Oryzias latipes: one gene and its partners. The protein of the gene in region 7 purifies or fractionates together with the protein of the main gene of each other region. This does not show direct contact. Links are inferred from orthologs where the notes say so. Each region holds a gene or a part of one and is shown on either strand. Other genes may lie near its edges.

Region 1 (3,500 bases), on a different chromosome or scaffold from region 7:
TGTTTCAAGTCTCAGCAACTCCATTTTCTCAGGAGATGTCGTCCATCGCTTCTGCACCAACGTTTGAACAGAGTTTGCAGTGCTAGCTTTAGCTTTAGCTTCAACTCCTTTCACAAATCCCTGGTCGTAAGCGAGTGAAGTGCTGCTGCTGTGGCGTTTGTCCGCAGACGGCAGCACCGACTCTGTGGCTGCGCAGACGAGGAGCAGACAGGCAGCTGCAGTCTCCACGGTGTCGGTGGTTCTTTACCTACTTCACCACCTGTGTGGAGGGAGGAGTTGGTCGGGTGAATGACAGCATCGCTCTCCACGATGGAGATGTCGGCTTGGACAACTTGCAACTACAGGCGACAACGACAAACAACAGGCAACAACATGGTGGTAAAACACAGTGAATGACCAGGAGCACCACATGAGAAAGTATGAGGAAGAGCAGAAGGGGAGGAAGAGTGGCTAAGAAGATCACAGAAGACAAGGATGAGGCAATGGAAGGTGGAGTTTTAGGAATTAGGAAGCAAGACAGGTGGAATTTCCTCTTTAAAACATTTCCTTTTTCTTTTCTAGAAAAATCAATGTGACAGCTGTCGTCCTGCTTCCTAAACCTAATGATTCGGTTCCAGGTGACAGATCCATCCACCAGGCTGCCCTCAGTGACTAACATCCAGTTTACACTCATCCATCTTCATCATTTGGATAAAAACTCTGGCATCGCAGCCGTTGGGCAGCCAGCTGTAAGGATGAAAACCTGAAAAGAACCGCCGCAGGTCTGCACACAAGAGGAAGCGAGCTGCTTCCAACGGCTTTCAGGAGATCCTTGAAAGTTCTTTTCCTCTCAGAGGAACAAGACTTCTTTTCCTTTTTTATTGATTAGTTGCTTTCTGCTCTTCATCTCAGACAAGACAAAGAGAGTTCAGCTGTTTTATGTCGGATGAAACCAAATAGTCTCATTTCTCTTCACACTGTCAGGATTTTTCTTGTCATTAGAAGAGGCGAGCGATCAAATTCATTTATTTAGCAAAAGAAGGAGTAATGCTTAATGACTTGATACGTCTCTCGTTTTACTTGTAACTGAAAAATGAAAGCCAGAATTTCTCCACTTAAACATCTTGTTTGCGGGGAGTTGGATGCTCTATAGAACCTGACGTGTTCTTACTCATTTAGGAGGAACTGCTGCATGGATGACAAAGGTCAGGGTAAAAACACATCAGCAGCCGCATGGCAGAAAGGATTTCTAGGGACATTTTAACTCGTGGATTAGAAAAAAAATTAAGCATAAATGTATATTGAGTCTACTTGTATATTTTAATTAGATTTCCTGATTTCCAAAACAAACCTTGAAACCTTTTTTTTTTTTTTTCTGCATAAGCACACAGTCATTTGCTTTAGAGCTATAGTGTCTAATTTCAAATTCTGTTGACCAACTTTAATAGAAACTGTCTAAATGGGGGGGCCATGCCACCGTGGGAAAAAACACGAACCCCTGCAGGTCGCTCTACTACAGGAGGTGATGTTCAGCTACAACCTTCAAGGATTTCACATGTCAAAGCCCGCTGAGGCCGGGGGGCGGGTTGAGGGCTTGGGGAGCTCACCTAGGTCGTCTTTAAGCTCAAGTTCAGCATTGGTGGGGTTGATGACCCCCTCCACGTCAAAGCCAGCTAAGTTACTGACCTCGCTGTGGATAAGGTTGAGCTGTAAAAGGGGGAAGGAGGAGCAGGCATGCAGAAGAGGGAATGGAGCAAAGAAGGAAGAGGTGAGGAAGCAGAGCCATTAAAACCGGATTCTCTGTAGATTAGAGGGATACCTTTAGCTTCTGGATCAATCTTGGAGCAATAGTTGAAATTCAAAGCGGTGTGGTTGAAAAACGTATTACCTACTTCAGGTCAGACATAAAATAATAAACATTTTTCATAGTATAATAAAATCTAAATATAAAGTTACAAACAGACCAGGCTTTCTTAGCCCACAGTGTTCACACTGGACAAACAGGGAGGGGATTCTTCTTCTTTTCTTTTTTTAGTGTTTACTAGTGCGTGAACAGTTGGGAGAGGCTTGGTGCGAAATGTCAAAGCGGTCCAAATCTGGTGGATCTTGCTCCAGGATTTTTTCTTACTTTCAATTCTTGTCTGATTTATGAAAGACATGGGCGGCAGTGGCTCAGGCGGTTGAGCAGGGCGTCCAATGGTCAAGGGTCAGCAGTGCGAACCCCGCTCCCCCCAGTCAACTGTCCTTGTGTCCTTGGGCAAGACACTTCAATTGCCTCCAGAGTAGCTCCACTGGTGGTTGAATGTGCATGAATGTCCCGGTGATGGTCAGAGGGGCTGTAGGCATGAACTGGCAGTCTGTCAGTCTGCCCCAGGACAGCTGAGGCTGCATCAGTAGTTACCATCAGCAAGTATGAATGAAAAATGGACACACTGGAAGATAAATCCAATCCATTATTATTGTTATGAATCCAGCTGCACACAAACCACAAATGTCCATGATCAATTTTCAAATGTTGGCACTTCCGTTATTTAAAGGGGACGTCATCCATACGCCTCTACCAAATCCGAGTCTCCGATTGGTCAAAGTTAGATCTAGTTTGTTTTGTGCGCTAGTCGTGGAAACTTGCATGGCGAGGCGTGAACGTGATAGTTTTGTAACGCAGAAGCAGGAAAAGGTATCCCTCTAAAATATGATGTCAGTGAGCATCTCACTGTTTAAAATTCATCACAGAGAATTCAGAATTCACCAGCTAGAATCACTCTGGCCTTAAGAGAGGCGCTAAAGTGCAGAGAACTGAAAACAAGAAGAAGTGAAGATAGAAAACAGCATGAAACTGAAAAGGTTTTCTGGGAGGAAGCTCCCAAAAGAGTTCCCTAAAATAACTTAGAGTGACATCAGTGGTTCTTCTATGATCTTTGTTAGTAAGAGAGTAATTACTGATCAGACTGTGACGCATTCGCTGCTGCAGAAACATTCAAACAATGAGCGAGTTTTCTGTTAAACACGTCCAGCTCTGCTGATGCCACTAAATGTAGCCAAATCGCTTTTAGGTCATGTGAATACACTCAGCAATCAAAGTATTTGTTTGGCATTTTGTGCAGCTTCTGTTGCTGCATTTATCACGTTTTTAAATCGGTTTTCTGATGCAGAAAACAGTCCACAGCATCTTTAAGTATCACATGCTGCATTTGATTCATCTCACAGACAAAAGTAAATGTCCAGGCATGGCCTGTAAAATGACATGGCTCAGTTAAACTCCATACTATTTATTTAACAGATTCAAATTCTGCTTAAGAGCTTCAGCAGGACTGAAAGAGAGAACTCACTCAGGTCGTAACCATCACAGATACAGACTTCAAAAATGTACAACTTAAGACAAAATTACAATTTTTGGACAGTATCTCACAAAAACGAAGAATAAATGTTCAAATCGTCTGCTAGAACTGTTTTCTAATTAGTAGTGTGGACATTAGATTGGTTAACTGTGTCAAATACAGTCTTCCTTGGTGACATGGTGG
Region 2 (3,500 bases), on a different chromosome or scaffold from region 7:
AGTTGTCGTTGATGTACTCCAACAAGTGATTTTCAGAGTCAAAGTACTTCTTCTTGTGAATCACACTCATGTTGTACAAACTCAGGTGAGCCACATCCTTCCTGAAACATTTCCATAGAAACTTCTATTACAAATTAAATTACAACTACATTATTGAAGAAACTCAGGGAAACTGCCTTAATATGGCTGATTATCAGAGTTTACCACAGAAACAGAAAAAAATCAAATCACAACAGTCACAGACTCTGCAGGTTTTCCCTCAAAGGATGAGTTTGGTCTGAAATGTCAATCACAGAAACGCTCCCACTCTTAAAATGTAAAAAAAGAAATAAAACTGATTGATTTTTAATGAACTTATTTGTATAATAAAGCAGAACAGAAGTATTTATCTTAATTCTGTTTCTTCTTCTGTGAGAAGCTCTTCTATCCTCCACTGTTTACCTGCATCAATGTCACCTGTTCAAACTCCTTATCAGAATCAGACGCCTGTCCACAGCCTAAACCAGTCAGAGTGTAACCCTCCACCATGACCAAGACCAAAGAGCTGTCAGAGAACACCAGGGAAAGACTTTAGGGTACCATGCTCTTTTGTTTCATGCTAAGTGGGCCAGATGACTGACCCGGGTTAAGGAAAGACTGAATGAGGTCATGGAGGATGAAGCCTGTCTGGGTCTTCCAGCAGGAAATAACCCCAAACACACGGCCCGGGCAGTGAAGGAGCGGCTACATAGAAAGCATCTCAAGGTTCTGGAGAGTTCTAGCCAGTCTCTGGACTTCAGTCCAAAAGAGGAACCGTGGAGGGAGTTCCAATTCATGTTGCCTAGCAACAGCCTACAAAAGATCTGCAAGACAGGACGGGGTTTGCAGAATCAGAGTTTGCGTCGCTGTATGCTGGCATTCATTTTAGGCGGGATAACTGATTACTGGGCAAAAGACTGAGATGGTGATTTGATTTCAATGCTCTTCTAACTGCCAGGTTTAACCGAATAATGATGGAACTTTATGAAAATCCCACATTTTAAACAGAATAGGCAATTTTATTCTGAAAATATTAGAATCCGTTGTTCAAAAGACAACCGATGGATGGATGTGACGAATCAATGCCGCACTTTCCAAGTAAATCTGAAACCAAGAAAAGGGGTCAATAAGGTCGTGGAGGTGGGCGGAGTTAAGTGCTCCCAAAAGGAAATCAGTGTTTTTAATCCCAGCAACTAAAAACATGCAGACAGATTTGTTACTGCAGAGTTTGAGGACGAACACCCCCTCCCTCAATGAGGACGCGTGACGGCTTCCGGACAAACTCACCAGCTGAGCGGCAGCCGGCTCACAAACTCTGGTCCACCGTTGCAGACTGAACAGATGAACAAATAAAACCTGGAGGGAAAAAGAACCAAACAAACAGCATTACGGTAGTTGGCATGAAAATGTTTTCTAAAAAAAGTCAAGTTTTCTTTATTAAAAAAAAACAGTTCAAATGTTTTTATGTGGCATGTCAACAGACTGCTTTGGTTAACTAGTACATGCTTCATTAAAACCCCTTGTGCTGTCTTGTGGGGTCCAGATGACCTCCGAGGGACTTTAACATTGGGAGTTGGGTCATCTGGACCCCACCAGGCTGAACCTTTTTTCTTCAATGATTTGTGATCTTCACTGGTGTCCATGGATTACATGAAATCTTTCCACCTTTATCCACCTTTGTCATGGTAGCGAGAACATGTCAATGTAAGGGTGGGGTCATTTGGACCCCACAAGATAGCACAAGGGTTAAAAAGACAAAATTAACATTTGCATATGAAAAAATGTACACAAAAGAAAATATTCCTGTGAGTAGAAGAAGAAGAGAGAATGCTTGGAGTGTGCAAAGCAGTAATCAAAGCAAAAGGTGGCTACTATGAAGAACCTACAATATGACATATTTTCAGTTGTTTCACACTTTTTTCTTTTGTATATTATTCCACATGTGTTCATTCATAGTTTTGATGCCTACTGTGTGACTCTACAATTTTCATAGTCATAAAAATAAAGAAAACTCTTTGAATGAGAAGGTGTGTCCAAACTTTTGGTCTGTACTGTATATGAATATCAAGTTGTTGTATATTGACGTTAGTTATAAAGAACTGTATTACCCAGCATGCATGAATACCCAGCATGCTAGGCGAGTAGTCACATGTTGGTGCACAGTGCAGAGCTAGGAAGCTGATTAGAGACGGATTGCTTTGCACAGTGTAGTAGTTGGAAAGAGACTGTTCAATAGAAAGTCTGAAGAACACGGCTACAGCGCCTCTCTTTGCTGACTGAACGAGGCGAGCTAAATGAGCTAGATACCTACTAAACGTAACTTTACATAGTGTTAGACAAAAAGCCTTAGATCCAGATTTCCCGTATTGGTTCGGGTAATGCTGTTGCGTCATTTCTTGTGTATGTAGTGTGAGCCCTGTCGGCCACCGTATTATTGTAATCAGATTACTGTATTTTCCCCAAGTACAAGTTGCACTGGAGTGTAAGTCACAGGGTCAAATAAAAGATAGTAAGGAAAATAAACATATTCGAGCCGATCCGGAGTATAAATCACGAGAAATGCTGCGCTCACACCCAGCGTGATCGGGTTTGATTCGCATCAAATGCGAGTTTGCTGCCTTTTTCTACGCACGTCAAGTCACCTATGCTGCCGTCCAAAAACGCGTTCATAAACCAGACAGTCCCGCCACATGTGGGAGAAGCTACTGTCGAGTTTTTAGCCTCATAGCAACATGGACGCATCGACTGAATGTCTCGTTTACACACGGGTGACATCCAGAGATCACTTAAGGTGAAGAGCCACGTCTCCATGTCTGAATTCATGACTTCTTTCCATCTTTAACTTCTGCCGAGTCATAGCAATTCCAGCCGTTCCTCCGTGTTTCTCTAACCTGGTTTGATGACTTGCCGTCCCAAACGAGTTCGTGGAGGGAAAAATAAAAACTCACTTAACAGCATTTGATGCAAAAGTAAAGTTCAGGAGAACGATCAGATTGATTTTGATTGATGGTGTTGGACGGCGCTTCTTCTGTAGTAAATACTGACAATACTGAGTTTGATTAGGACTTCTGCGGCTTTCATGGAAGCTAACAAACCAGGTGTTACCCAGCAAGTCATTTCATCCATTAACTAACTGAGTGTGAAGCTGTGCACCCATCTGTTACTGAAGCACCGCTGGTTCTGGTTCTGGAGCTGTGCTCCTCCAGGAGAGAATCAAACCAACAGTTGAAGTGATGATGCTTGCAGAAAGGACAGTACCTGTCACCGTAGAGCATGGGCATAGGTAAACAATGGAGACAGGCTTCATGGAACCACTGCTGACACTGTTTGCACTGCAGCATCTTCAGGTACCAGCTGCACAGACAGAACACACGCTCAGCATCTCCTGAGGCAGAACCGTGCTCTGTGGAGGCTCACTCACTCTCCCGGATCGCCGCAGTAGCAGTAACACTGCTGGAGGTTAGTCTTGTGGCCCTGGTCCC
Region 3 (3,967 bases), on a different chromosome or scaffold from region 7:
AAATAAGAATTTTCAGGAATCGCAGTTAATATTTCACATTGGGTTTTCTAGTAAATTTCAAAGCAAAAAACGAAAGGTATAAGCTGCAAAGATTTTGCACAGTACCAGGTACAATGTTCTTGTGATTTAAACATTAAACACATTTTTACATTATGTGTGTGTGTGTTTCTTTAAAGTTGTATCTTACAATAGCACGCTTTTATAAAATGTTCACATTAGTCCATAAAACTCTGTTTGTATTTGAAGTTTTCATACAATACAAGAAAGTTTATTCACTACAGAAAATAAGACAGAAAAAAATGTGTTTAAAAATCATGCAAAAGTCCAAAACTAACATGTAAGTTAGTAAAAGTTATGGAAATTATTCTAATTATTTATTTTTTAAATGTTAAATCCAAAAGAAACACTTATGGCAATCGATTTTGTTATAACAAATCCACATTTCTTTTGGTATTATTAAAGCTTAAAAAGCTATGTAAATAGTTTTTTTTTTCAAACTATTATAGTACAAAAATATTATAGCAATTTATATTTATTAATTTTGTTTAAAGCTGCTTAAACTAAAGTAACTGGACAGTTTTACACCTAAGAACAGATGAATGGATGTATGTGCCTCTGTAACACAAGAGAACACAATGTTCCAGCAGGGAATCAAACCAGCAGCTAATGAGTCAGCAGCCTTTTTGCAGCCAACTTCATCTGAATATATGTTTAAAAAATTAACTTCAGCTCCAATTAGTGTGCATTTATTTGATATTTTTGAGAGGGGTGTTTGTACGTTTTAGGTTCTTATTTGACAGTTTGAAATGAAATTTCTGGGACTATAAGCAGGAGAGCTGAATGCTCCTAGTATAAAGGAGGCATGTGTTTACATTGGGGGAGGTCATAGTTCATTCACCATTACAGTGGAGACTGGAATGCAGACCTACTGTTCAGCAAAAGGACAAAATACTAAACACCACATATTATATTTGAACATTGAAAATGTACTTTCCGTCAGTTTTATTTTATGTGAAAAGTTCCTTCCGATACTTTCCAACATGTGTTTTGCGTTTTCAAACCGAATCAAGAAAATGTAAAGAATCCGCGCCATAAGGAGTGGTTGGGTGGAGGGGGGCTGAGCTTCTGTGGTACTGTTGGTGGCCCCATTTATCATATCTCCGCCCTCCAGTGTTCCTGCTCCCATGAGGGCGGCTCTTTAAATTGGCCAAAAATCTCCTCCTGGCTCGCGCCTTTTTTCTTTATCTTCACGAGACCAGACGCACGTGCTACATTCAGGACACCGTTGGAATAATCTTCTTGTTTTGCTGGTAAACTATATTTATTTACATATAAGCAGTTGTTTGGATGAAATGTTGATTTTTTTTTTCTTCAATTCAAAGCGGGTTTTTTTTCTTTTGTCGGCCGCGTGAGCAGGGTTTTTTAAATGGGGCGGGCTGTGCGTTGTCTGACGAAAAAAAGCTCCAGCCTATAGATCGTTGCAAGGTTTTTGAACCGGTTCGGCCAGGCTTCAGGGGCATTTCTGAACAAAATTAAGGACGGGGAAAGCGGACTAGTAACAGGTAAGCGCTGATTAATCCGGCGTGAACCGAATGTAGTCGGTTAGCTTCAAGCAAATTACTACATTTAAGCTAGCTTACAGGACGCCGCATTCTTTGAACGTGAAGATGTCTTTTGGCCTGCCTTCCAGTCGCCTTAAATTTACCGTCATGTTTTGTAAAATATCAGGGATTTTTTTAATTTTTATTTTTAATTATAGGGGGGACCCTAAAAGTCGCGCGCATGTAGCCGATGCTTAGCCTTCAAATGCAAACGAGCACATAGCAGCCATTGTGTTCTCGGTGGCCCCTGCGTGCAGACCTGCTGTGAGATGGATTCGTGCACAGGCCCGACCATTGGTCACAACAGCTCCAGGCAGGACGGGCCCCTAATATGTTTGGTTCGGGAACGGTGCAACGGGTTCAGTAGTGTCCCCCCGCCCTCCTCCCCTTTTTTCCTCCCACCGCCCCTCGAGTCTGTGCATTAACATGCGATCGCCTTCGTTGTCTGGTTCTGTGTAGCACGGTGCTGTGTAATGGAGCGCGGATGAGACGGAAATAGACCTGGAAGTAAGCGCGGATTAATTGAGTTAAACCGGGTTCGTGTGTTTGGCGACGGTCGGATTTTATTTGAATATGTTAGTTTTAAATGCGGTCATTGGCTTTAGCGGGTTAGACGCTTTGTGTTGTGCGTGAACTCGACGCCTCGTCCTCCTCCTGCTGCTGCTGCAACAGCGCCAAATCTGTGGACTCTCTCCTCGTAGGTTCCAAGAGCTAAAGTAAGCATGAGCGACAAGGGAACCGTCTCGCCGAAAGAGAAAGAGGCGGCAGAGAAGAGAGGGCGTGGAAGACCCCGTAAGCAGCCCCAGGTAAAGACGACTGACGTAAGTAAACGCACATTTTACACCCCCTTCTCGTTTCGTATAGGCGTGCATGCTGTGGATCTGTAATTGTGCATGTGTTGCACCGGGAGAGTGAAGTGCTCCATGCATGCCCTAAAATCCAAGTAGAGGCCCGCAACTTGCAACCCCCCCACCACCATTTCAAAGCAACCTGTAACCCTACACCTTTAAACCGGTTTAACCCCCCACCCCCCTCCCCCCCATCCTCTCGCCCACCTATGTGCTCCATGTAATGGATGACATAGCCCAGTCCAAGCAGAGTGGCTCATAGACCTGTCAGTCAGTCTGCTGTGGTTTACTACTGAGTTGCCTGGTTGCTAAGAGCAGCAGCTGTAAACAAGCTACAAATGCAACAGAAGGCAAGTCAGCCACGACACCATCCAACCACAAATTACGCATGAATACGATTACTCGCCTCCTGTTGATTATTGGTGATGCCAGTCTCCCAATAAGAAGAAAAAAAACGCACTGCAATAAAACTTGAATTAACTCTGGGTCGCTTTGATCACCAGGAGCCCAGTGGATCCCCGACTCCAAAGAGGCCCAGAGGACGACCAAAGGGCAGCAAAAACAAGACCGGCGGCAAGGGCAAAGTAAGTTGACATACAATGTGAAGGAGCAGAATTTCCAACACATCCATTGCCCCCTGCATCCATTTGGTTTAGCAGCGCAGCAGCTGCTGACCACATACTCTTAAAGGACGTTGAGCTGTCATTTGTGACATTTAGTGTCTTCTTCCCCTCTTGTCACTAATGGCATAGTTATGGTTTCCCCATTGTAAAAACCCACTGGTTTAGTGCCTTACTTTTTGAGGTGTGTGTGTGTGTGATGGTGGTGGTGGTGGTGGTGGGGGGGGGTGTCATCCTGTCCTCCAGCTTCCTGCAGAGTGCAGGCAGTGCAGGTGCAGAGGCTGCAATACTGTTTCCAAGTTGACACTTAGCCCCCCCACCCCCCACCAGTACACAGCCCTAGTTCTTCTCTCTGCCTGTCGTCTCCATAGCAACATCAGATTTTTCTCCCTCGCCCCAACCCTCCAGCTCCCCCGTGTGCTCAGCCCATGTTTTTAATGCATGGGAAAAGGGAGAGCGGCAGACAGAGTTTGGGACAGGCGTGCACGCGGCACGATCGCTTTAGCAGCAGCGCCTGCTCTGCAGAGAGGGCTTCTGGGTCTTCGCTCGATTTCACCAGCTGTCTCTGAGCCTCAGACCAGGTGGCCTGCGAACTGGAGTGCCCCGTATGCAGTTCCTGTAGGCCATCCAGATAATAGCCAATGAACCCAATGCCCCCTCCCCTCCTGTCATTGTTAAAGTGTGACTGCCATCTACAGGCAGTTTAGGGCACTGTCACTCTCTCAAATAAAAAAAAATGCAGATGGCCGAAGCCTCTTCACTGCAGAATGTCTGACCTTGTGTCCCTTTTGTTCACAGAAGGCAGCGGCAGCTCAATCTTCAGCGGGGAAACGCAGAGGAAGACCCAAGAAAGAGGTAAGAGTTGCCCTTAAAACAGTGCAACAGTGTGCTAAAAACA
Region 4 (4,189 bases), on a different chromosome or scaffold from region 7:
CAGTGGTTATGTACAGAAGCTATGTATGTATATGTATATATACACGCATGCACGCACGCACGCACGCACGCACGCACGCACGCACGCACACACACACACACACACACACACACCCCCACACACCCACACACCCACACACACACACACACACACACACTTCTGGGACTTCCAGATCCAGACTGATAGGATGGTAATGGCAAACCAACCAGACATTGTAGAGGTGGATAAAGAACAGAGCAAAGCCGTTGTGGTGGATGAAACATCAGGAAGAAGGAACATGAGAAACTGGAGAAATACCAGGGACTCAGAGAAGAACTGGAGAAAGCCTGGAAAGTGAAGGTGATAGTGGTGCCTGTGGTAATTGGAGCACTCGGGGCAGTAACCCCCAAGCTGGAGGAGTGGCTACAACAGATACCTGGAAAGACCTCAGACCTCTCAGTCCAGAAAAGCTCAGTGCTAGGAACAGCTAAGATACCACAAGACCCTCAAGCTCCCAGGCCTCTGGTAGAGGACCCGAGCTTGTGTGAGAAACCACCCGCGAAAAGGTTGAGAGAGGTGTTTTTTTTAATATATATAGCTGTTTCGCTTGCATTTTGAAGCATTTCCCACTGCTTGCCACTTAATAGTTTTCAATTTTTGAACTGGTGACTTCAACACTTTTTTTTCATTCTGTAGTAATATAAATTAGATATTTATATTTTGAACATTTTCCGATATTGCACATTAAGTAAAAGACTTTACACTTGGATAATTGCAATAAAACAGAGTGGTGATTGTTTTGAAATTGCATATCATCTGTGTGCATTTAGTTCAAAGCTGGAATACATTTACCTAAATCTATATGCTATATATAATTGAATGAATGATTATTGATATTGGTGAGGTTATTGATTTATATGTTATTTTTAAAATGTTAAAAAATGCAATAAAATTTGTTATTTTGAAACGTATTTTATGCACAAATAAGCTACATCATCTCTATAATAATTTATTAAAAATAGATTTCATGAAATCAATAACAAATTCAATTGTAAATAAAAATGCAACAACTACCCAAAAAGGACACAATAATTAAACTTTGAGAAGATTAGCACAAATCTAACCACAAAACTAAGATTTAAATAATAATGCCATTGTTTGGTATTATCATTTAAGTGTAAGAAACCAGGAGAAAGATTATATAATACACCAAATTTATTTACTATTTAATGTTTGGGTATTAGGGGAAAGAAATAATAATGACTACTTTTATATGACACTGATGTACATACAAAAAAAAATAATAAGCCCGCTCTTCAAATACAAACATGTTTTTATTCTACATCGAATCAATACTCTAGATGGATTTTAAAAAACGTTCAAACAAAACAAATTTAGAAGGAAGTAGTCCCTGAGCGGATGAATTAGGCGGATGTATACTGCAGTTGTAGGCCGCTCAGCTGATGTGAAGCTGCTAGGTAGAGAGAAAAGAGGAGCTGTTGCCCTGTCTGTTACAACTACAACACTGGAACAAATAGGTAACAACATTCGGTCAAATGTTGAATTTGACAACATTGACATCTCGACCAACAGTATTTGTAGATTTTCAGGTTATACCGTATCACCTCATTTCGGAAGACTGGTGATTCAGTTCTGCGTAATGTCTCGATTCCCGTTCCTGCTTTCCTGTTTTTTGTGTGTGTCTAAAATCTATCAGAGGCCATTTCTTTCTGGTGTTTGTGTGCTAACTGCTAGCTGCATGAAAAATCTTAAATAGAAACGGCCAATGGGGCGTTCAGTGCGTTCGGGTTGGGATACATTAAAGGTGAAGTTGTTTTTGAAAATCTAGGTTTCGGTGCCGTCCTGTCGAGCTGGCAAAGCGCTAGCCAAGAAGTGACAACAAGGCGAGCTAATATTGATTAGCATTTTTTTTTCTTTTTTGCTGTAACGCTCTTCTTGTTTGATTTAACGTCGCTGTACGTAACCTGCGTGACTGCCTTCAATAGCGAGTTCCTATTGATAAGGTTTGTAGTTGTTTAGTTGACTAGCAGGCCTAGCTATATATTTAGTTGCCAACTGTTTTACGTTTTTTCCTCATCTTGTTAAAGTCTTTTAAGAAAAAAAAAAGATTATTTCGTTAAGCTAGCATTAGCTTGCTAATCATTAACTAGCCTCGGACTCGGTGCTTGTCAGTTTGACCAATATATACGTAACGTTACGTGGATAAAACGATTAGCTTTCTTTGTACTTGTTGAAGTCTAAACATAAAAAAAACGTGCTCTTTGTTGGCACGCAATGACTATACAGTTTGGTTTAGCTGGTGTTGGCTAATTCCGTCGACACCGCCGCAGTGAGTGAGTGAGTTCAAGCCGTTGGCCTGAAGTCAGCTTAGGAAACATCGGGTAATCGTTACATTTGACCAATCTTGGCTAACCTTGGTCTTGAAATTGCTTTCTCGATATTAGCTTGTTTGTCTCGTCGTCTCCTACTTTTGACATTGCGGTATTTCGGGGGATTTGGTCTCCCCTCCCCAAGCAAACGTTACAGAGAAGGTGAGAGCATTTGTGTGCGTGATGTGCCTCATTTTGTTTTCCTTAAAACTTGTCAGCCATGCTCGTATCAAGGCTCGGATACGAACTTGGCGTTTTTTTAGTTGATGATTCGAGCTTTTGTTTTATTAAAAATACAGCCAGGGCTGCCTTTTATTCTCCCCCCTCCCCCGGCGTGTCGCTAGTTAGCCACAATTATTGGTCATTTTGGAGATCCTCCTTTGCGGTATAGTTTGAACTGCTAAGTACAACAAACAAGGGGAAAAACGACAACAAGCAGTTGTCGTCGTTTCTCTGGCATTTAATTACATGTCTACATAGGTTGACATACCGGTACGCCAACTACGCAGTTCAGTACAACCAGTGCTACATTAGCAAGTGTCACTGTTTTCACTGATGCAGCAGTTTGACCTATTAGTTATTTTATTGACATCCCAGTTTTTATTTTCTAAATATATTTGACCTTTTTATGTTGGATTTCCTTCATAAAACGAGGATGGAGTAACTGCTGTCAAAATGTGTGGTACTTGCTAGTGGCTAAATGCTAACGACAGTCGATGGTGTCAGAAAACTACGTCAGAAATATAGGCCTCTGTTGATCGTGGGTTCAAAAAAAGCTGGACATTTGGATGTCAGTTGGTTTACACCATGAAACGGATTAAAAACTCTGTCATTTAGTACCTTTTAGCAAATCCCAACCACACACGAGTACATTGTGACTTAGAATGGTCGAGTAACAAAGGCTGGGATGTGCAGGCCTGACATGGCCCTGGGATTTTGAGGTGTTACGTATTTATCTGTTTAATATTCACAAAATCGTCAGGTTGAGTTTAAAACCAAAATCTGTTCATTTGATTTAGTTTATTTTCCATTCAGGAGAAAGTATGTAGGTTATGCACGTTTCTGCTTATCATAAATTCAAGCTGTTCAGCTTTTTATGTTCACATTGTTTTGTTTTTTAAATTATGTATCTGCACCCTCATTTATTAAAATGTGCACTTTCCAGATCCACATGATTAGACATGGTTAAAAAGCCAAAGGCTAGTCTTCACCTGTGTAAAAAAAACAAAGAAACAGACATAGATACAACATATTTATAGAAAAACTTACTATACAATGGATACAATACAACATCCCATTTCACATTTAATCACAGCATCAAAACAAGATTTTCTTGTAGTGTTGGCAGCTGTAGGTCTTCATAAGCCACATATTCAATTTGAGATTTTGCATCTTAACAGTTTTTATTAAAAGAAAATACTTGTTTTCTAATTTACAGGGATACTTAAAGATGTTTAAAGGGTTCTTAAAATAGTATTTTTATTAGTAGAGTCTGGTATATAAATATATATTTTAAAATAATTCTGAATACATTTTAGACAACTATTTGCCCTTAAAGGATAAATTTGGTTATACAAGTGCTTAAACCTTAAAGAAAATTTAATGTTGAGGCCCTTAAGCGTTTCCAGTAAGATAACTGAAATACTGATTTTAATGTCATGAGACTCTATTGCAAAAACCAAATCAAATAGTAAACCATGTTGGTTTTATGTGCATCAGAAATTCATTTGACTCATTTAAAACAGTTTAGATTAAACATAGATGAATAAAATGAAGGCTTCCTTAATTTAAAGTTTTATTTTCTTAACTGTAGGTTTTAT
Region 5 (4,014 bases), on a different chromosome or scaffold from region 7:
TCTTCCTTCGGGGTTCACTTCCCTGTTCGGACCTTCAGAGCCTCCAGAGCGGGTTAATAAAGAATCATTCACCATTCTTCTGGAGGGGAATCTTCTGTTATTACAGTTTTCCTTCACTCTGTATATCAAACATGAACGCACACCCCCAACACACTTCTGCTGCACGCGCTCCCCCCTCTTTCTTACACACGCGTGTGGTTTCAGCACACAAACATCCTCATTCTACAACACATGTTTCAATGTGGCCACATGCGGCTTATAGACAGGTGTGGCTTATGTATGTACAAAATGTTCTATCCTTTAAAAATGTAATGGTGCTTATAACCAGGTGCGCTCTATAGTCCAGAAATTAAGGTATACAGGTGTTGTAGAATGAGTGTGTGTGTGTGTGTCAGCGCGCTGCGTGTGTAAGAGGAAGGAGCGGAGCAGCAAAAGAGTGAGTGAGAGTGCACAAGCGTGTTGGGGGTGTGCGCGCGTTCATGCTTGGTGTTAGGAGTGAAGGAGAACAGTAATGAAAGGTTTCCCCCAGAAGAACGGTGACTGATTCTTTATTAACCTGCTCTGGAGTACAGCTGTGACAGTGAGGGATTTTGATCACCGCCGTGATGAAGCAGCAGGAGTCGCGGTGTCGGGACTCTTGCTTCCCCTCCCCTACACACACACACACACACACACACACACAATCCTCTGGCAGGCGGTCGTGACGCACACTACTCAAGAACGCACGCAGCTTGTAATGGAAATGAATACAATAGAAATTCCCCCAGAAGCTCTTGAAGTTTGAACACAGGACTCACAGAAAAAACAAATTATCAGCAAAGATGAATGTGTTTATTATAGTTCAAATCCCGCACCATATGCAGAGCTTTCAAAAAAAAAAACAACAAGGTGATGAGATGATCACGGTGATAATCTCATTACCGTGGTGATGCGGTTATCGTCACAGCCCTAACGGAAACGCGGCGAGGGAGAAACTGGATAAGGTATGTACTATGGGATATCGCTGATTGGATTTGTCTGTCTGTTCAACCCAAAGTTATTTAGCATAGAGCGATTCTGGATATGCTCCATACTAATCATAAAAGCGTGGGGCCATTGAAGGCACGTTTGAAAAAATAAATCAATCAGTGACGTCCCAGAGTTCCTACGCTTAAGCTTAATGTGTTTCATTTGTCTAACATTTTATCTCGTTTCTGGAAATGACTTTGGTTTTTCTAAAAGGTTTTTTATTTTTTACGTTTCTGAAATTTAGTTTTATTTTCTCAAATGTAATGCTGTTTTTTAATATTTGTTTTGCTATGGTTATTGTTGTGATTTTGACATTTTTTGTGTGGAGTGAGGTGATCTGCCCTTCAGGGCCACCGTACTAAAGACTCACTCAGTTGAAAAACTGTATTTTTGGCTCCTTTAAGATTTTCTTGGAGCATTTTTATCTGATGATGGATGACATTTATAAAGAAAATTGAGCCCAAAATTGCACTTTTGAATTTTATTTTTCCTTTCACATCACTGTGAACCAGAAGAAGAAAAAAATGCAGCCCTCCCTGTTGGACAGCAACAGGGAGGGAGGGGAAGGGGGGCGGGGCTGCTCTGCACCAACAGTCACAGTTAAGACGTGTACCGGTAGTTTTAATGATTTCCTGCCGCTCTGCAGAAACTATGTCTTAGAAAACGTCGATTTTGGCTAAAAACAGCAGCAGCATCAGCATTAAAAGACCACTGCAAACGCTTTAGAAATAAATCAGAAAATGATCTCTAAATGTGGCGGCGCTAATGAAAACATCCTTCAGTCACACAGAGAGCATCTAGAGGCTGCTTCAAGCATTTGGTGAGCCCGCCTGACTCACCATGCTGGATGTCCTTCAAGAGGACCCAGAACTTGGAGTTGTCCTCAAATGTGACGAAGCAGCTCTGTCTGGGGGGGCTCACCTGTCAGAAGGTAAAAAGCTTAAAGCAGCCAATAAGAACAGAAGAGTCCCCGCGTTCACGGACAGGTGAGTCTGCAGCCAAACCTTACCCTCTGTATCTTTCCTAGGTAGTACAGTCCGTCTGACCAATGGCAAAGCACAAACTGCCCCACACTCAGACTGGACTCTGCCCCCTCCACCTCTGCCAATGTCCCACTATGGCTCCCCTCGCCCCCAGGAGACACCTGAGGCTCCAGACCGCAGAAAGCTTCGATCAAGTCCTCAAACATCCTGCAAAGAGATGGATGGAGAGACAGAGGGAGAGAGACGCTGGTTTAGAACAGAGAGAGAGAGAGAGACAGGCCGTTAGTGGCTGTGATTCATTCCTGAACTGTTTGTGCGGTTTTGACACCACAGAGCATGCGCACTGCATCCTCCCATCTAATTTCCTTACCTGACCTACAACCGCATAAACTACCGCACCCTGACATCCGTGACAGCTCACACTAACGGAAAACTCCCGAAGCATGCTGGCGGGTCATGCATCACTAAATGTTTAAAACGTTTTGGTACCAGCACCGGTTCTGCATATATAAATGCACGCTGACGCCAGACAGTTCCCCTGCAGGCTGAGCCGGGCGGGCCAGACCTGCTGAAGGACGCAGGGCATCTTCTCACCTCTTCTCTGGCGGATCCAATCACGCCCTTCTCAGTCCTTTGGAGCTCGGAGCCCGATTCGGCCCGGTAACAGCCCGACGGACGGACGAACGGGGATACCGAACCTCTGGCGCGGCAGCAGTGTCCCGCCGTCCCTCGTTTTCTGTGCCTCTCCTCTCCCTCTGCCTCCGTTTGGCGGCTCCGAGCTTCAAACTCTCGCCGGCGCCATTTTTTTCATTTTCCCGCGAATCAGAGGATGGGTTTTTTTTCTACCAGCGTCGTGTGCGTGATGACGTCATGACGCTGCTGCGCGGCTGCAGCCGGAGCCCCTTTCAACGTTTCACTGATTTTAATATCGAGGTGAGCGCCGTTGTGAGTCTAGGAAGAGGCTGCGCGAGCACAAGTTTTATTTAAGGAATAGATGTATAATTTCAAGAACTCAAAGAAGCAGATCCGCCAATATTTAATTGGCAGCAGTCATACTGTCCAGGTTTATACCTTAAGAGCCCCCCCTCTCTCTGTCGCGCCTGCGCATACATGATGCTGGAACGAGTTTGATCAAAATGTTTGTTATTGCAGAAAAAGAACAGGGGGGTATTCCAGAGAGCAGGTTCTGCTAGCTCCCACGGTAAGTTTGAGGCTAAGGAAGTGGATAACCTCAGCTTTCGGTTCCAGAAATGGAGGTATGTTTCAGGGTATGTCAAGTTGCCATGGCAACTCATGCTCTGAACATAACCTGGTCTGGAGCAGGTTTAGTTGAAGGTTAGTTTGTTTTCAGAGAGGTGAAGCAGCATGGCGTGTCCATTTGAAGATGATTTAGTGGATGAAGAAGCTCAGATAATACTTTTTCCACCATGAGAGGGTGATAAGACCACATATGGATGTTGGAAAGAGAAACTTTTTTACTTTGATCTAACTTAATTATTTGCTTCAGTTAAGATAATTAAAAATCGTTTTATTTGTTAAGTCAGTTTAAAAATAACACGTAGTTTTCAGACAGTTATTTTACTTTCATTCAAATTAATTCAATGAAGTAGGTGTAACTTTGGTGCTGCTGTTAGATCGGCACTGCAAGGGATTGTGGGATACCATTCCCTTTGCCTGTCTGGACGGATTTGGGTTTAAGTGTGGGTTTTTGACCAAATGTGTTTAGTTGTTTTGCTGTTTTACTGTGTTTTACCCTGTTTTGCCGAGTTATTTTGACCTACTTTGCACAGGTCTCTGCACCATGAGGGAGAGGGAGGGAGAGGATGATGAGTTTATATAGCTCCCCTACAGTCAGCTGGTATATTAATAATGTTGGAAAATTTCTAAATGAATGAAAGCTTGCAGGTTATACTGTTTTGTTCTTTTTATTGTTATAAAAATGAAGATCTGCCGGCTCAAATTTAGACATATGAGAGTTCAAGAATTTTAATTCATTACGAAGGAAAAAAAAATTACTTTAATT
Region 6 (3,500 bases), on a different chromosome or scaffold from region 7:
TGAGGGCCATCCGGTCTCTGAATAATTGGAGCAAGAGCACGGTTTGCATACCAGTTCAACACAAGCGGCTAAAAGGAACTTCCTCTGTAGGGTGGCAGGGCGTTCCCTTAGAGAAAGGGTCCCTACTGCTCTGGTTTAACGTCATTCATAGACGGATGTTTCGATCCAGAAAAAGCTTTGGAGCTCAAACAGGACCGACCGGCTGCTCCGTGGACGCCGGGTGCAAAGCGCAGACGCCTCTGCGCTCCGCCCTCGCTCTGTGGGCTCCTTGCCTCTCCCTTCCTATCTTCGCGAGGGGGGCGCCGGAAAGGAGCGCTTTGTGCTTGTCCAGACACTGCGCGGTCTGGGCGCAGCTGCCCTTGGACGGAGCGAACCGTGTCTCTGAGCAGAGCAGCCGGACTCATAGTTTTGTGTTTGAGGGGAGGATGCTTTGTTACGTGTGGGAGACTTCGGACTGCGATCTGTAGGTGAACGAGCAGCCGAATTCAGGAGAACCATGTCTCCCGTCTCCAAGCAGAGCTCAGGCCTCCAGCCCACACAGCGGGTTTGGGGCAGTGTGTGAGCTTTTCAAAGCAGAAGTGTAGCTCAGTCCTTAGAAAACCGTTCAAACAATCACGTGGATTTGTGTTTCCAGTTGTGTCCCGACAAAATAAAGGCCGATGTTATTCCAACATGTTTACGTGCAGCCAAGATGCTGATTGCGGCATTTCCCGCATGGATTTTATGTTCATCCAGGCTAAATGTTGTTGTTAGCGCATGTTAGCATTCTCGTAACCATACGTCCAGCTTCGTTCTGCCACTAAGAAAGCACTGACCACACAGATTAAAAATAAAATGATGAGTGAACAGGTGCTTCATAATACCTATTACATTAACAAAAGCACGTTTAGAAGATCGTCTTGTATATATATATATATATATATATACTGCTACATACTGTATATGCATGTGGCAGCTCAGCCTGTTTACAGCGGGACTCGTTTAGTCTTCCGGTATTTTAAACAGAACTGCGCATGTGCGAATGATTTATTCCAACCAAAAGTGCTGCGAATGTAAACGTTTGTTCTGATCGGAAAATGATTTTCTGGGTCCATGTACACAGTTAAATTCTAATCCGACCATTGATCTGACTACGATGTTTTGCACATGTAACCATGGCTAATGTCTCTCAGCTGGCCTGGGAACGTCTCGGGGTCCCTCCCAGAGGAGCTGGAGGAAGTGGCATGAGGGAAGTCTGGGCATCTTTGGTTAGACTACTGCCCCCGCGAACCGGTCCCGGATAAGTGGAAGAAGATGGACGGATTTAAACTTGAAAGTACACATTGTGAACTTGAAGGAAATATTGAAAACTGGAACGCCTGTGTCTTCCCTCCTCTAATGTGGCGAACAGTGGTAATAATGCCCTCTTGAAAGTTTGGTACCCAACATTTTTTATATGCTTGATTGATTTTGAGTTTAAAACTGTTCTCAAATTAACCATGTTGTTATTTAATCACTTAAGCCGATCCTAATCTATATTTGAGTCAGCAGGATTCTGTGAAAACAGGAGCCCAAATCAGGGCAGGGTTTTTCTTTTTTTGCATCTCCAAGAAACATCCCGTTGTGGAGTCAGAGTTCCTCACAGCCAAAAAGAAAGACTCACTTTTAGTTATTTGACTCAAGCCAAAAATTGATTGCTATTGCCAGACATTGATCACATTTTTGAACAGAATTTGCCAACTGACCTCATGAACAGTGTTTATAATTATGATGATGTCAGCAGTTTCAAAAATACATTTTAGACGTCCGCGGGGCTCACCCTGCTCCAAATGAGACGGGCTGGATTTACCAACCTTTTCCGATGCGTGATACTGACAGGCGGGTCTGTAATGAGGGGCGACGTATCCGATGTCAGCGGAGGTGGGGCTCGGACCTGCAGCCCGAAAAGACACTTTTTCTTCTTGATCTCTTTTCCAGAGACAAACCTAGACGACAGGGCATTAGGTTGCATCATCGCATTAGGTTGCATCATCGCAAGTGTCCTTTTTTCAATAACCCCTCTTTAAAAACTAATAGTGATTCTTCTGCAATGTAACACAAAGTAGGTGCTGCCCTGATGAGAGGCGCACAAACACTTCAAGGTAGAGACTATAATTAACTGGAGCACAATTAAAGCAGATGTTTAAAGCCTGGAGAAATATGTTGTTTTTATTGACTACAAAATACACATTTTAATGAAAATCGACTTACAGCAATCACTTTACGGGTTTTATTGGTGTATTACCAACAACTTGTGTTTGCTACTAAAACAGAAAGTGGCTCATTTGAACTATTTCTGCTCCATTTCTCCCTTATTTGAACCTACATGTCTAAAACAGAACCTAGCAGGTATTTCTCTCTCCATTTGATACAACCTACCTGTCCTTGTGGGAGTTGAGAGCGTTAAGCAGATTGTGGAAACGGTCCTGTCTTGGTGTGTCAGACAGCTGAAAAACAGAAAAGGATTAAAATGCCTGCAGATCTTTTTTTATAATGATGATATGTATCAACGATTTGGACAATTTGATGAGTTACTGAAAAAGGAGAGATAACTCGACTCATCTGAATTTTTTTTAAATGGTTTCTGAATGACGGAACCAAAAGTGGCAATCACAAAAAAATCTGGCCTCCAAGAAAATTAATTTATCACTAGCTATTACCAAGAGATGTTAGAAAGTTTATTCTTAAAAAAGCCTGTTTCAAGCTAAAGACTGATTTAAATAATTAAATGTAAGAGAAAGAAAAAGTTAAAGAAAAAATGCTAAAAGATCTAAATGAAACAAAATAAAATCCATTTGTAAAGGGTAAAAAATAAAGGTATGACACAAAAACAGATCAAACTAAAATGAGAGATAACATCTGAACCAATTATATATTTATATTATACCAGGGCGCAGATATATAACGAATGTTGTTATTTACTATGATGAAAACAAACATTTCTAAACAAAAATCTTAAACTAGAAACTAGAAAATCAAAGGCTGCAAAAAAAAGATAAGTATTGTTTGATAAAACCGAAACTTCAAGATCAAAAAGTAAAATAAAACGTTTAAAATGACTCTTTTTTGAATGGCTAGAATGAATTCTTAGCTAATTTAATGTGTTCCAAAGAGGAAGAGAAATGCATGTCCTACTTTAGATTGGTTTAGTTGGAAATTCTTTTTTATAAAAATCACAAACTTAAATTAATTGTAAATAAATATATACATGTATATATATATTATGATCTTTAAGACCAAAAAGCTGAATAAGAAACTTCAAAAAGCTCTTTTCGGGTTGTTTTATGTGTGAATTACGTTTGCAAGTAGAAGCGAACTCCAGTTTTTATCTCTGAAAAAAATATTGAGAAGGTTTTAAAATTTTAAAATAATTACATTTACCTAAGAAATTGTGATTTGGTTTAAAAAAAATGGATTATTTTTGATCAGGTTACAATGTCGCATTGATGTTTATTACTGTTAAATTTTTAATTTGATAAGTC
Region 7 (2,498 bases):
TTTTCTGAGGATTTTTTTATTTGACAGAAAATCCAGTGCTAGATTAAATTACAGGGAAAAAGCCTTGTGTATAGGAAATCCTAAATTCATCTTCTTAACCGTTTTGTCCCTTTCGGGGTCGCGGGCGAAGGCAGGGGACATCCTGGACAGGTCGCCACAGATCACTCACCCATGCACCCTTAGGGGCAATTTAGAGGAACCAATGAACCAATGGAGCAAGGTTTTAAAACCATCATCACCTGCAGCACAGGCTGACCTCTGACCCCTGTCTGCAGATCATCTCGCAGGACGAGGCAGACCGCAGAGGGAAGGTCTACGACAAATACATGTGCAGCTTCCTCTTCAACCTCAATAACGGTGAGACGGGTCCCAGAGCAGCCAAAGGTCCAGTGCGGCTCCAGCCTTAAACCCTTTTTCTCTGCAGATTTCGTGGTTGATGCCACAAGGAAAGGAAACAAGATCCGCTTCGCCAACCACTCGGTCAACCCCAACTGCTATGCAAAGGGTAAGGGGGCGAGACTGTTAGCGACCGTCACTGGCTTCAGGCTCTTTTGTGAGGCCCTCTTCTGCTGTCTGCAGTGATGATGGTGAACGGGGATCACCGAATCGGCATCTTTGCCAAGAGAGCCATCCAGACCGGAGAGGAGCTCTTCTTTGACTACAGGTCAGTCCAACACCTCCAGTTCTCACCTGCAGCTCCACTATAATCGTTAGACACAAACAGATCAGCGTTTCCTGTTTTGGTGAGACGTAGTTTCAGAAGAACTTAGTCTTCCAAACATCAACCAGATGTGTCCTCGAGTTCCCGTCAGGTAAAGCTGGGAGACTGATGCTGTTTGTGGACGTCTTCTGTGCAGGTACAGCCAGGCGGACGCCCTGAAGTACGTGGGGATCGAGCGCGAGATGGAGATCGCCTGATCCCGACCTCTACCTCTGTGGCTCTGCAACACAAAGAAGGCCTTAACAACAAAGCAACACAATAACTTCAGGAAAACCAGGCTGCTTCTCCAAACTCCGCTCTTCAGGAAAACTGGGAATATTTGGACTCTGTGTTTCATCATTTTCCTCTTAAAACCCCTCTCCTCTGGGACTGCTGGACTGGTGAATGTTCCCTCCTGTGAGGCCTTGCCTCACGGCGTAAACATCCCCCAAATATTGGCACAGGAAAGACAAACTCCTCTTCAGGGACCGAAGTCCTCCAGCAGAACCGTTTGCCCTCTTTCTTCTTCTCAGATCCGGACCGACCTCCTTCAGGTGCTAGAACCAGCACACGCTCCAGCGCCGCTGCTCGTTCAAACCAAACAGGAGCTGAAGCAGTTCTGTCATGTTCCTCTGATGCTTTGATTGTCCATCTGTCCCCACATTGGTACTGACACTGCGTTCAGTTGGAATCAGATTATTGGTGCTGGTTCTCCGCTCTGGAACCAGATCCAGCAGGGGAAAAGAACCTGCTGGAGTGTAACAGATCGGAATCCTAAACTGATTCACATCAGGAGTCTGTTGATTGACAATCCAGTTTCTCTCCATCTTCCAGATGATGAAAGGTTTGATGGGAAAAAGCCGGCATGTCCCTGTCTGCTGTGCCTCGTCTCATGAACAATCACCGTGTCACCTGGACTCCACCCCCCCTCGGTGCTTAGACCAGCTCACTGCCTCTTCAAGATGTCAGCCGGGGGCTTCAGAGCATTCCTCTTCTCTGCTCTCTGGTGCTTGTAGACCCTCTGAACCCTGACCTCTCAGCAGCACCAGCTTCATTCTCCTGCTGAGAAACGTCTTTCTTCTTCTGCACCTGTAATTTATGGACTCGGTGGTGGGAGACTTCAGGGCTTCACGTGGTGCTTCTTCACCGGCAGGATTTCTGTGTTCCTCCTTTTCCTGTCCGGTTGGTTCTCCGTGATCGTTCTTCAGATTGGTTGTCCGGTCACATAGGTGCTGATTACTGTTTACAGGGATTTGTTTGTTCAAAGTGATGCAGAATAAAATATTGTGAAACGTTGAGATTCTGGCTTTTGCTGTTTCAAGGTCAAATGCTCCTGATGTGAAACTCGTCAGAGAAGGAAACGCAGTTTAGAGAAATCTGTTTTTATTTATCACACATTTAGAAAATGAACCACACTATACAAATGTCCACCGTTCAGTGATGAATCTGGCCTCCTGCATGAACCCATGTGAGATGTGGCCGCGGCGGCTGGATCCCGAGTGACTCCTGTCATCCTTGCGTTGTGGCGGTCACTGTGGTGCGGGTAGGCAGTAGCATGCAGAAACCTTTGGATGCGGCTCTCCTGACTGGCTGTAGACTACTTCATACATTTGCACTATATGCAGAGAAGGTTTTGTTTGTTCCTCTTTGAGTCTTTATTTACAATAAAAGGATGAAGCGAGCGAGTCGTACGGATGGAACGGGACAGGCGATCGCGCTGATGGAGGTTGGAGCTCCATCACTGCAGGGGGAGCAGTTCTTCGTCGGGTTGGTGGGTCTGTGTGGTCGCATGACTCAG

Evidence for each region.
Region 1: the proteins of ezh2 (region 7) and core histone macro-H2A.1 purify together in Homo sapiens (affinity purification with mass spectrometry; 3 studies listed by BioGRID and IntAct, with this or other methods). This does not show direct contact. The link is inferred for Oryzias latipes from reciprocal best matches to the Homo sapiens genes EZH2 and MACROH2A1.
Region 2: the proteins of ezh2 (region 7) and mtf2 purify together in Homo sapiens (affinity purification with mass spectrometry; 10 studies listed by BioGRID and IntAct, with this or other methods). This does not show direct contact. The link is inferred for Oryzias latipes from reciprocal best matches to the Homo sapiens genes EZH2 and MTF2.
Region 3: the proteins of ezh2 (region 7) and hmga1 purify together in Homo sapiens (affinity purification with mass spectrometry; 3 studies listed by BioGRID and IntAct, with this or other methods). This does not show direct contact. The link is inferred for Oryzias latipes from reciprocal best matches to the Homo sapiens genes EZH2 and HMGA1.
Region 4: the proteins of ezh2 (region 7) and trip12 purify together in Homo sapiens (affinity purification with mass spectrometry; 3 studies listed by BioGRID, with this or other methods). This does not show direct contact. The link is inferred for Oryzias latipes from reciprocal best matches to the Homo sapiens genes EZH2 and TRIP12.
Region 5: the proteins of ezh2 (region 7) and phf19 purify together in Homo sapiens (affinity purification with mass spectrometry; 10 studies listed by BioGRID and IntAct, counting the BioPlex papers as one, with this or other methods). This does not show direct contact. The link is inferred for Oryzias latipes from reciprocal best matches to the Homo sapiens genes EZH2 and PHF19.
Region 6: the proteins of ezh2 (region 7) and PHD finger protein 1 purify together in Homo sapiens (affinity purification with mass spectrometry; 15 studies listed by BioGRID and IntAct, with this or other methods). This does not show direct contact. The link is inferred for Oryzias latipes from reciprocal best matches to the Homo sapiens genes EZH2 and PHF1.

Annotation. Positions count from the first base shown.
Region 1 is NC_019872.2:3,504,713-3,508,212, reverse strand, and holds part of core histone macro-H2A.1, read right to left. Parts: intron 1,687-3,500; coding exon 1,587-1,686; intron 339-1,586; coding exon of another isoform or gene 248-338; intron 1-247. UniProt on the Homo sapiens protein: Variant histone H2A which replaces conventional H2A in a subset of nucleosomes where it represses transcription. Nucleosomes wrap and compact DNA into chromatin, limiting DNA accessibility to the cellular machineries which require DNA as a template.
Region 2 is NC_019875.2:5,988,268-5,991,767, reverse strand, and holds part of mtf2 (metal-response element-binding transcription factor 2), read right to left. Parts: coding exon 3,440-3,500; intron 3,373-3,439; coding exon 3,277-3,372; intron 1,375-3,276; coding exon 1,306-1,374; intron 102-1,305; coding exon 1-101. UniProt on the Homo sapiens protein: Polycomb group (PcG) protein that specifically binds histone H3 trimethylated at 'Lys-36' (H3K36me3) and recruits the PRC2 complex, thus enhancing PRC2 H3K27me3 methylation activity.
Region 3 is NC_019865.2:19,767,170-19,771,136, reverse strand, and holds the start of hmga1 (high mobility group protein HMG-I/HMG-Y), read left to right. Parts: upstream 1-1,167; 5' UTR 1,168-1,310; intron 1,311-1,379; exon of another isoform or gene 1,380-1,562; intron 1,563-2,023; exon of another isoform or gene 2,024-2,108; intron 2,109-2,302; 5' UTR 2,303-2,323; coding exon 2,324-2,422; intron 2,423-2,952; coding exon 2,953-3,033; intron 3,034-3,867; coding exon 3,868-3,924; intron 3,925-3,967. UniProt on the Homo sapiens protein: HMG-I/Y bind preferentially to the minor groove of A+T rich regions in double-stranded DNA. It is suggested that these proteins could function in nucleosome phasing and in the 3'-end processing of mRNA transcripts.
Region 4 is NC_019871.2:22,661,144-22,665,332, forward strand, and holds the start of trip12 (E3 ubiquitin-protein ligase TRIP12), read left to right. Parts: upstream 1-1,389; 5' UTR 1,390-1,517; intron 1,518-1,912; exon of another isoform or gene 1,913-2,003; intron 2,004-2,301; exon of another isoform or gene 2,302-2,531; intron 2,532-4,189. UniProt on the Homo sapiens protein: E3 ubiquitin-protein ligase involved in ubiquitin fusion degradation (UFD) pathway and regulation of DNA repair.
Region 5 is NC_019867.2:31,490,816-31,494,829, reverse strand, and holds the start of phf19 (PHD finger protein 19), read right to left. Parts: upstream 2,801-4,014; 5' UTR 2,586-2,800; intron 2,199-2,585; 5' UTR 2,198-2,198; coding exon 2,018-2,197; intron 1,930-2,017; coding exon 1,848-1,929; intron 1-1,847.
Region 6 is NC_019874.2:28,784,769-28,788,268, reverse strand, and holds part of PHD finger protein 1, read right to left. Parts: intron 2,466-3,500; coding exon 2,398-2,465; intron 1,965-2,397; coding exon 1,833-1,964; intron 1-1,832. UniProt on the Homo sapiens protein: Polycomb group (PcG) that specifically binds histone H3 trimethylated at 'Lys-36' (H3K36me3) and recruits the PRC2 complex. Involved in DNA damage response and is recruited at double-strand breaks (DSBs).
Region 7 is NC_019878.2:3,242,524-3,245,021, reverse strand, and holds the end of ezh2 (histone-lysine N-methyltransferase EZH2), read left to right. Parts: intron 1-275; coding exon 276-357; intron 358-424; coding exon 425-505; intron 506-579; coding exon 580-664; intron 665-857; coding exon 858-918; 3' UTR 919-1,998; downstream 1,999-2,498. UniProt on the Homo sapiens protein: Polycomb group (PcG) protein. Catalytic subunit of the PRC2/EED-EZH2 complex, which methylates 'Lys-9' (H3K9me) and 'Lys-27' (H3K27me) of histone H3, leading to transcriptional repression of the affected target gene.